Arabidopsis thaliana: one gene and its partners. The protein of the gene in region 3 interacts with the protein of the main gene of each other region in a pairwise test. Each region holds a gene or a part of one and is shown on either strand. Other genes may lie near its edges. The genes, in order: TRY, CPC and GL3.

Evidence for each region.
Region 1: the proteins of GL3 (region 3) and TRY interact in a two-hybrid assay, tested with the Arabidopsis thaliana proteins (3 studies listed by BioGRID).
Region 2: the proteins of GL3 (region 3) and CPC interact in a two-hybrid assay, tested with the Arabidopsis thaliana proteins (4 studies listed by BioGRID, with this or other methods).

What each region holds. Positions count from the first base shown.
Region 1 is NC_003076.8:21,580,839-21,584,597, forward strand, and holds TRY (Homeodomain-like superfamily protein), read left to right. Parts: upstream 1-1,775; 5' UTR 1,776-2,074; coding exon 2,075-2,138; intron 2,139-2,431; coding exon 2,432-2,519; intron 2,520-2,953; coding exon 2,954-3,122; 3' UTR 3,123-3,405; downstream 3,406-3,759. UniProt on the Arabidopsis thaliana protein: Transcription factor. Involved in epidermal cell fate specification. Negative regulator of trichome development, including endoreplication, by lateral inhibition involving intercellular interactions.
Region 2 is NC_003071.7:19,048,649-19,052,407, reverse strand, and holds CPC (Homeodomain-like superfamily protein), read left to right. Parts: upstream 1-2,038; 5' UTR 2,039-2,222; coding exon 2,223-2,301; intron 2,302-2,374; coding exon 2,375-2,462; intron 2,463-2,975; coding exon 2,976-3,093; 3' UTR 3,094-3,387; downstream 3,388-3,759. UniProt on the Arabidopsis thaliana protein: Transcription factor. Determines the fate of epidermal cell differentiation. Represses trichome development by lateral inhibition.
Region 3 is NC_003076.8:16,527,007-16,530,765, forward strand, and holds the start of GL3 (basic helix-loop-helix (bHLH) DNA-binding superfamily protein), read left to right. Parts: upstream 1-2,083; 5' UTR 2,084-2,291; coding exon of another isoform or gene 2,292-2,293; 5' UTR 2,294-2,426; coding exon 2,427-2,572; intron 2,573-2,913; coding exon 2,914-3,195; intron 3,196-3,759. UniProt on the Arabidopsis thaliana protein: Transcription activator, when associated with MYB75/PAP1, MYB90/PAP2 or TT2. Involved in epidermal cell fate specification.

The DNA of each region.
Region 1 (3,759 bases), 5.1 Mb from region 3:
ATTATGAAAAATCTTTCTAGGAGGCAACATGTCACATCTTTGTTGTTGTTGATATAATCAAATAATAGAAAAGGTAATCACATCTTTGTCCTTTTGTACCAGAATTTTAGACATTAGTTTAGCTATGCAAACCAATTTCGTTCTTTTAGCTCCAAACTAAAGACACATTTTCATTGATGCATTCTTCGATATCGAATTGATTTGTTTATCAAAAGTTTATGAAAATCATTTATATTGCTATATTGTATTTAAGCTTCGAGTAAAGAGATATTTTACCAACTAGGCTTCCTATTAAAAAAATTCCAAATCTATCACATAATACACAGTTTCTATGCAATGAGGATGATGCGATATACATCACATGACTCGCCTCACACGATGTCTTTCGCCGTAGACTACAGATTTCTTCCGTTTAATCTTTTATCCAATTATGAATTATCTGGTAGGGTACTTTATATTTTGAAAATCTCTTTCGTGAGAATATGATAGTAATTGTATACTTTCTTACAAAATTTATTGAGAAGCGTACTTTATATATGATGTTTCTCACTCGAATTAAATACGTTAGTTTAATGGGTCGATTCAGATTTATAATAGATTTAAATATTTCGAAGAAAACGCAAATCAGGGATTTTGGTTGTATCATGTGTGAGAGATTGAATTTCTCCAGAAGCACTCATTAAATCGCGTGTGTAAGGAGTTGCCATACAGCGTCGTATGTAATGTCTTAGTCACTGTTCTAGAATTAAAACATATGTCAAATGTAGAATTAAAAAACAGGGGTTAAAATGTTAAATTATTCGGAGAAGTGGAATTATTATATTAAAAACATTGTGTGATTTTGGGATAAAATCTGAATCATGTTTTTTATTGTGCCAAAAAATTTCTGTTTCAACCTCTTCGTGGAGATGAAAGAAAAGTCAATCGGGAATGAGACTTCTTGTATAACGAATGAAAATATGAACATGTTGATTAATGAATTAATTAACATACGTACTATATTAAGTGGGAATATTAGGTATAGGCCTTCGATTTTCCGTTTTGTTTGGTTTTTTCGATTTTAATAATATTTCTCTAAATTAAAATAAATTTTAGTTTGGTTTATTTAAAATATTAATAAAATAATATAAATAACTATCTAATTAATATATTAAAAAGTATTTTCTATATATATTGATATAAATATTATTCCCATGTTTTATATTGGGTGACGTTATCTTTTAAGTAAAGTTGTAAGATATCTAACTTATTCCTACATTATAATAACTATCAAAATAAAATAACTAATTGTAGTGACAATGATGACTATCAAAATATGTATGTGTTTTGGCTCAAACATAGCGTTTAATAACAAACACAATGGACAATTTTAATAAATTTGATCGATTAGATTTTGTTTCATTTTCATGCACTAGATTAAGGTTCGAATTAGATTCATTTTAGTGTATATAGTGAAACTAATTTGTTACTATATGGAAAAAAAAATAAGTTTATTTTTGGTTCAAGAATTTTTATTCGGTACGGTTTGGTGTGTATGTCCAACCCTGAAAAAAAAACTTGAAAAACTAATAACCTAATAACAACTAATTTTCTTAGAAATACAAATTGGACTTGAATACAAAAATGGAAAGAACAACAACAAATCAATAACTAAAACATCGTTGAACTTGCATCTGCCAAATAAAAATCAATAAATCCCATTATTCTAAAAAGATAGTAGGTTTAGAAAAATTGAATAAATGGAAAAAAAAAATTGTTAGGATCTACGAATGAGAACAAAGTTAGCCTTCAAAATACTTACAAATCCCAATAAAAGACTTCATCTCCATGTGTATTTGAGTGTCAACGACAAGTCTACACAAAGGGTAAGAGGTCAACAAGACCACACAACACTTCTTACTATTAGTTTTGCAAAGGCCGTTCGTTGGACATTTCCTTCTCTCTCCTCCCCTCTTCTTCTTCTTGTTCGCTCTATAAACTCTCATCTCTCACGTCTTTTTTTCCTTACATTCTCCAAACTCAAAATTTCATCACATTAATTTCTCTCTATTTTTCTTTTCTTACTTCAATAGTAATGGATAACACTGACCGTCGTCGCCGTCGTAAGCAACACAAAATCGCCCTCCATGACTCTGAAGGTACCTCTCTATTCTCTATATATTTTCTATTTCCTAAATCCAATTTTATTAAACATCTTGAAAATAAATTTAGTTCCTAGCTAGGATCATATTCTCTTTGTATATATTCGTTAAAACGAGGGATACGTTTAATTACTTCTAAATTAGTTACACCTCGTGCTGACTAAAAGACTTATCAAGATTAGTTTCTAGTTTTAACAAAAATTAATATCTTTTTAAAAAGTTTATATTTGTCTTTTTTTGTTAGTTTAATATTGTTTTGAGTTTAATTGGTTTAATATTGTTATTTGCAGAAGTGAGCAGTATCGAATGGGAGTTTATCAACATGACTGAACAAGAAGAAGATCTCATCTTTCGAATGTACAGACTTGTCGGTGATAGGTAACAATTTCTTCTTCTTCTACTTTTTCTAAGATTATCCCAGCATAAAATAAATTTTATATTTTAGACATGTCTAGCTAAAACAATTTAATATGCAGGTATATACAATTTTACATACGTTAATTTAAGCATATGTACTTTATAACATATGTACAGTGTACCATGTTGTAGGGGAAGCACATGGTGTCCACTAATTTTCTAAAAAAAGACATTTAATTAAAGCTATCACGTTCATTAAATTATATATGTACACACATATATATAGAGATAAAAATAAGAACCTAATTTACTATTCTTATCAGTACGTACTCATGTATATAAATGCTTGGCTGGCTCAAAAATGGAAATTTTTGAACTGACAAATTATATTTTATTATGAAAATATAAATGCTAATGCTTGGGATAAAAATGTTTTTTTTTTTCTTTTGAATTAGGTGGGATTTGATAGCAGGAAGAGTTCCTGGAAGACAACCAGAGGAGATAGAGAGATATTGGATAATGAGAAACAGTGAAGGCTTTGCTGATAAACGACGCCAGCTTCACTCATCTTCCCACAAACATACCAAGCCTCACCGTCCTCGCTTTTCTATCTATCCTTCCTAGTGTTTTTGTTTTTAAGCCAACGAAAAAAGAAAATAAAAAAATTATAATAGATGTATAGTAGTGGTTCTTGTTAGTTTGAAGAATTCATCATCTATTGTTTTCTTTTTGTTGTTATTTCATTTATAATTTTTATAGTATAGGTTTCATTTGGTAATCAACTTTAATCCATGCGGTTAGGTTTTTTTATTTTCTCGTCTACGACTTTTATATCCACAACTAGATTTTAATCCGCGGTATATCGCGGTATAATTTACTTTTTAAAGTTAATATATATTAAAACTTGCAAATTTTATTTTTATAAAATATTTTTATTTTACAGTTTATAATTGTTATTAAGTAACGCTATACAACGAATCCATGAGACAATTGTTAAAAAACTGAAGTTTTAACCCTTACTAAAACAGCATATTAATAATATTTTAAAAATTTATAAATATTGATTCAAATACATCCACCATATAACTCAATTCCAAAATAAAATCTGTTCTGTAATTTCTTTACCCATCCCGTGATTTATTTTTAAAGTAGTAATTTTAAAAATTTGAGAATTATTTATTACATATAAAAGTTTTACAAATTGTATCATTCTCTAATACATTTATATTTTATAGTTTAATTTTATATATAGTAACATTTT
Region 2 (3,759 bases), on a different chromosome or scaffold from region 3:
CACTATGGACACTGAAGCCGGCTCACGAGCTAAGTACTCGACCACGTGAACCCATTTTAAAAACTGTGACTTCTTTAATAGAAACGCATGAATTCAATGAAACAGACATTTTCATTCACCAATTATATTTCGTTAGTTCCATTAATCTGTGGACCCACCAATGAGAAAAAAACGCTAATTGAAAACAATTAAAAACTCCATAAAATAAGCTCGAAGTTAATATCCATTGACTACACGACACGTGTGATAATTACCGGAGAAATTAACGTCGGGGAAACTGGCCGCCGCGTGGCATACAGATGCTGACAAATTCAGACGGGAACGGTGGTAGACACGTGGCAATAAAAGACAGGAGGAGCGTGGAGGGTGCTTGACCATTTATCGCCTTGGAATTTGAGACTTTTAAGGGGCAAAAACGGTAGCTCACAAGTCAACACTTTTGATAATCTTTTTGCCGTTTCGTATAATTCAATTCAAAAGTTAATGTTGATAACCACGTAAACACTTCTTAAACCGACCAAATAATATAATTAAAGATTTGATTGATTGATAAGCTTTTGTGTTTTCTTTTTCTGTTGTTGTGCGTGTCAACGTGTTGTACTCTCCGTAAACATTCATGGGCCTTTTCAAGTAACTGCTCAAGCTGGCCGATAGCAATTTAAAATAATCAATAAGCCCATATTGTTTTTGAATAGGCCCATGGCTTATTAGGGCAACATATAACGCTTTAACCACTTCGTCATGAAAAAACCCATACAACAACATGCAGCAACTAACATTCAACATAACTGTTTTCATTAGCATATAATGTACGAAAACATGCAACTTATCTCTATAAACTGTTAGATCATGTACTTAAAAATGCATAGATTAAACGTTTTCAATTTATCATAACATGTACCACACAAAAAAAGTAGCTAGAGCAGCTATTCATCTTATAGAATATATAGACGTATCTCACCTTCGCACTGCAGATCTTATACAAATCTTTTTAAGAAAATGAAAAAAGGGGGGCTAATCTCATATATTCTTCGAAGTCTTTTTGGGTTATTAAATAGCTTTAACCACCACATGTCATAAATAATTGTTGTTAGATACTTGTCTGATTCATGCCTTTTTTTTTGCGAGTCAAAGCTTTGTATACAACAAATGTGCTTCTTTGCTCTTTCGTCTCACTCCATTTAGTCAAAAATTCCATTTGTGATATAAAAATGAATAGATGAAACCTTGAAATATGTAATGAAACCGGTCTCGAGATGTGGTTAAAGCATATTTGTAATCAAAAATATATAATTAATGAAGAAAAACAAGTACGTTTTCGGACCACATCGGACCAGTAGAGGCACACAACCATACGGGTGTTGTGCCCACTTTTGACGACATTACCATCAGACCAAAGGAATATATGAAAGATACATAGAGAGAGATATGTTCTCGAACTAACTATTTCTTTTTTTACCCTCTTCTGATTATAATATTATTTTCCCGTTTTGCTGTTCTCTTCTACCAAACTTTCCTCTTATATCAAACTTTCAAATCGAATTCCTGAACTTTATATCACAGTCCTTATTTGTTTTCTCTTGCAACAAATGAATTTTTTTGTTATTGTTGAATAGTTATATTTTTAAATAAGTAGCTTTGACAGAATGTATATTTAATGTAGAATAGCAAATAAACTAGAAACAAGAACACATATAAGGGACATACTGGTCATTTCGAAAGTCAAAGCCAGAGGAGAAGCTACTATTTCTCCAACTGTCTGTAAACGAGGAATTTTTACAACCGCAAGTCAAAGGATTTAAAATAAGTAGTTATGGTTGTATCTGTCGTTCTTCTTTCTCTATGAACTAAAGGCCGTTGGAAGCAACACACACACACACACAGTGAAACACTACAGTTTACAGATTCGTTTTCTTTAGCTCAATCGAATTATATTATTTCTTAATCAGTCAATATTTAAATAATGGAGGATGATGATAAGTATTAAATAAATAATTATTCTAGGATTAATCAGACATGCGCAGTTATATAATAATCAGTTTGATTTTCTTTTCCTTTTCGAGCCCCTCTCTCTCTCACTCTTTTCTTTTCCGAGAACCCAACAAAAAAAAAGCTACTATTAATCCTTCCCCTCGTGAGGAAATCATTTCTTCTTGTTTCTCGAGATTTATTCTCTTTCTCTCTCTCTTTCTCTGTGTGTTTCGTGTCTTCAGATTAGTTCGATGTTTCGTTCAGACAAGGCGGAAAAAATGGATAAACGACGACGGAGACAGAGCAAAGCCAAGGCTTCTTGTTCCGAAGGTCTGATTTCTCTTTGTTTCTCTCTATATCTTTTTGATCGGTTTGAGTCTGATTTTGTATGTTTGTTTCGCAGAGGTGAGTAGTATCGAATGGGAAGCTGTGAAGATGTCAGAAGAAGAAGAAGATCTCATTTCTCGGATGTATAAACTCGTTGGCGACAGGTTAGAGACTCTTTCTCTCTCGATCCATCTTGTTGCTTTCTCTTTTTTTTGGTCTTTCATGTTTTGTCGAATCTGCTTAGATTTTGATCTCAAAGTCGGTCGTTTATTTATGCATTTTCTTGGTTTTTCTATTATATTATTGGGTCTAACTTACCGAGCTGTCAATGACTGTGTTCAGCCTGATTTTTGATCTTGTTATTATTCTCTGTTTTTTGTTTTAGTTGTTCAAATAGCAAAACCTAATCAAGATTTCGTTTTCAGTTTCTTTTTTTATATATGATTCTTTAGCAAAACATATTCTTAATTTATGTCAGAACTCACTTTGGCTAGTTTGGTTCAATTTTGATTACAGCATGTTTGTATGAAGTCAAAGTGTAAATTACGATTTTGGTTCGGTTCCATAGAATTTTAACCGAATTACAAACTTTATGCGGTTTTTATCGGAATAAAAGGTATTTGGTTAAGTGTAAGTTCCTCAACACTGACTGTTAGCCTATCCTACGTGGCGCGTAGGTGGGAGTTGATCGCCGGAAGGATCCCGGGACGGACGCCGGAGGAGATAGAGAGATATTGGCTTATGAAACACGGCGTCGTTTTTGCCAACAGACGAAGAGACTTTTTTAGGAAATGATTTTTTTTGTTTGGATTAAAAGAAAATTTTCCTCTCCTTAATTCACAAGACAAGAAAAAAAGGAAATGTACCTGTCCTTGAATTACTATTTTGGAATGTATAATTATCTATATATATAAGAAGAAAAAATTGCTTAGGAATTTCAAATTTTTACCAGCCTCCATCGACACATGATATATCCCTCTATAGAAGTATAGTATTAGTAGCTGTGATTTAATGAGATAAATCACACTTTTCTAAAGTCTGTTTTCCTAAGATCGACTGTAAATTTTAAATTTAACTATGTTCGCTATTTTATCCAAAAAAAAATTACTGTTGTTCTTTCATACAAACAAACAAAGGTGAAAGGTCTCTCTTATTTCTTCTGCATAGGGGAATGCTTAAACTGAACCCAAGATGGTTTATTTTTTCGTGATCGGAAATGAGAATCTGTAAGTGGCCTACGATATGGGTCAACGAGGTAGCTCATTTATATGGGCCATAAAGAAAGCCCATTATTAAGTTGAGACTTTTAAGATAAAATGTTTCCACGGTCAACGATTTTACAACAGTAGAGACACATGCATGCCGTTTAGATATTTGGTTTAAAACAATCATACCGTTTCACTGTATGTGTGGCCTAATGCAAGTGTATGCAACTGTTATTATTTTTTGTTTTGCTTGCTT
Region 3 (3,759 bases):
TTAGATGAACTATCTTACCTTTTTCTGAACCTTGAGAATTGAGATACATATAAGATGATGATAATATGCCTTATGAGGTGGAAAGTGGAACCACTTATGTTTCATTGTTAAACCAATATAGTATATCCAAATTAAAATATTATTTTCTCAGCTATATCCATATGTCATTTAGTATATGGGAAAACATACAGTTTTTTAACATAGAAGAGAGGATACAAACCAGTTAATAGCAAAATAGTGTCATGCTTCCATTGTCCTATACATAGCATTGAATCTCTCACATCTTCTCGTACATGCCCAAAAGTTTATGATTTTAATGGCCGTGTTTACAACATTATTTCTTCTGTGCCGTCTATGTCAAGAAAATAACAACATAGTATATACCCTATATATATATATATATTACTTCTTTTTTTAATTAGTTCCGTTTATATATATGAAAGAGGTCTTACAGAGGAGCCTTAATGCTCAGATACAATCAAATAAGATAAACATATAGAGACGAGTGTTCTAGTAAGATCAGTAAAGATGTGGTCTAATTTTGTTGGAAATTAGCAAACCATAGCGAAAGATAGGAGTCAGGAGATGGAGTTGTTGAAGTGAAGATGACGTCTTGATCCAAACCAGCAAGGCTTCATCGGATTAGGAGTTGAATTCCCCATTTAACTTGAGTTAGTATTCTGATTGAAAATAACAATATATATTAGTGTTACATAAGTTTGGATCAGACAAATTTTATATTGTTGTATCGAAAGCTATACCAAATTTCCTAAATATTACCCTCAAACATCAACACATCCGATTAATTTACCGAAACCTCCGATCAACAGCACTACGAATGTTTAGACTTTGATCTTGTAGGGGACCGAACGTGTATATATATTTTAATGTTTTCTGACGTCAACGTCTCTCTCTTTTCTAGATGTCAGAAAAGGAAAATAATAAGTACTAATGGTCCATTTAGCAGGGTTTTATTTAAAGTTATATTTTAAATAGTTGCATAAATACTTCGAAAATATAGGTTTAATAGTATAAGAGAATTTTGAAATATAATAATATTGTAAGTATATGACTATAGGGAGAATCAACGTCGAAAATGTCCATAACATTTTTATTCATTTTAAAGATGTGATTGCAAAAATTAAGATTGTGTCTGTACGTATTGGGGGAACTCCTCGAGGCCAAACATTAATTTCGTGTCTTTCTTTGTGTTTCCCAATTTTAGTAAAGACTGTTCTTATATTATCTCTTTCCTCCTCAATTTATCTATTATTGTGTTTGTGACTATAATTTAGATTCATAGCGATTAGCTTCGTTTTGACACCAAGTAAAAAGCTGATGATTTTACTATTATTATATATGTTAATCATATACTCTGATTTGAGACATTATACTTTTGGTCGTTTTGTGTACTTTTGGAAAATTCATAAAACGATGTTACTCACCGACAATAATATATTTCGATCACTCAAATAGTAATAAGACTGATTAGATTATACAAAATGAAAGAAATCATACGATGCTGGTTAGATTGGACTTGGATCACATGCTAATGGTATTCTAGTCAACATTGCTTCAAAGATCTAATAGTCAAGGAAACAAATTTTTTTTTTTTGGTATCAGTGGGGATATTAAGTGAGGGAAACATTTTTTTTCAAGAATAGATGGGTGAAAAGTTCAGCCTTGACGTGATAACATTTTAACTTTAAAATCAGTGTTGGAAGAGACACACAATGATTCAATATTCCCAAAAAAAAGAGATCTCTAGAACCACAAAGAGACTGAATAGAGAATTTATTGAAGACAAGACCACAACAATGGACATTGTAGTTCATTGTCTTAAAAAAAGGTTGTTCTTCCCAAATGAGGAACTAATCAATCAACTTCAAGATAAAAAGAGGAACAATCAATCAACATCAGCGTTTTGCTTTTTTCCTCTACTTTTGTATCCTTTTTTTTTCTCATAAATCATTAAAAAATTATAAGTACTTTTTATTTTCGTCATAAATGTCTTGTGTTTTGTTCTGTACACAACAAAGATGATATCGTCATATTCAAAGAAAAAAAGGATTCGTAGACAGTTCTTCTAGTCTTTCGAGTTCAAGCTCAAACAACAACAAAATTAATATTCAAAACAACATTAATAAAAAAAAAGTATGGAGTGACCAAAGAAAAAAAAAACTCTCAAACATTTCTCTGTTTGTTCCGGCGAAAACGGCAACTGTTTCATCAAATGACAAACACAAAAACCTTAACATCTAGTTTGTATCCTCTCTGATACTTCAAAAAAAATGTAAAGAGTTACAAGTTTCCCTTTTTCTTTCTTTTTTAGGCTATAAATTTAACATAGTATCTTATTTCTTTCTAAATCAGGACAAAAAGTTTGATTTTTTTCTTTTCTTTTCTTTTTCCCTGTGTGTGGTTTCATGGGATATAGGGATGAAGAAACAATGGCTACCGGACAAAACAGAACAACTGTGCCAGAGAATCTGAAGAAACACCTCGCAGTTTCAGTTCGAAACATTCAATGGAGTTATGGTATCTTTTGGTCTGTCTCTGCTTCTCAGTCTGGGTAAGTTTCTTAAATCATATTCATTGAACACTAGATATTGGAGATTTTGAAAGATATTGATGAAGTAAATTTCTTGATTTTAATTGGAAAATTAGATAAAACTTATGTGTTCACTTCAAATCAAAACTAGTGTTTAGTTCTACAACTCAAGACAAGGTTCTCTAGGTTTTTCTTGATTCCATTGATTTTTTCTTATAAACTCATATAAGGTTTCTTGATCTTCTTTAAAAGTTCAATTTTTTTTCTCTTCTTCTTGAAGTTCTTGATTAGTTCAAGAAAATGTTTTGTTTGTTTTCTTTATTCGATTTGATATTTGTTTTTGTTTTTCTATATATAAAAAGAGTTTTAGAATGGGGAGATGGATACTATAATGGAGATATCAAAACGAGGAAGACGATTCAAGCTTCGGAGATCAAAGCTGATCAGCTTGGTCTACGGAGGAGCGAGCAGCTTAGCGAGCTTTACGAGTCTCTCTCCGTCGCTGAATCTTCTTCTTCAGGCGTTGCTGCCGGATCTCAAGTCACCAGACGAGCTTCCGCCGCCGCACTTTCACCGGAAGATCTCGCCGACACCGAGTGGTACTATTTGGTTTGTATGTCTTTCGTCTTCAACATTGGTGAAGGGTAATTCCGTCTTTTCCTCTATCAGCATTGACATTTATTATGTGTCATGATCGTGTTGATCTTTGCCAGTTTTAAACAACGTGCCAAAATATACTTTTAATACTAGTAGGTCCAAGGATTTCGACTTTTATGGTTCAGTTTAGGTTTGTTAGATTTCAGGGTTCTGCAGGAAAAAAGTATGAGCTAGAACCAATTTTTTAGTTTCAGTTTGGTTTCAAAATTTAATGTCCGGATTTGGTCGGTTTCAGATTACAAAAGAAAAAGTTAAAACATAATTAATTTTAAATAATAATGTGTATATATATGCATTAGTATGTTTAACTCTATTCTACATCTAATAAATTTTATTAATTCGGTTTGGTTGCAGTATATTTGTGTTCGATTCGAGTTTAGTTCGGTTTATTTATCATCACAAAAGTTTGTTTCTGTCCGGATTAATTAAAAAATTCGTTTCATTTTGGTCTTTATGAACACGGCTAATTAACTTTCAATAATTATGAATATGTTAGGAAGAAAAAATGTGGAAAAATTAAGCTTAGAATGCATTGCTGCTTTCTAAATGAA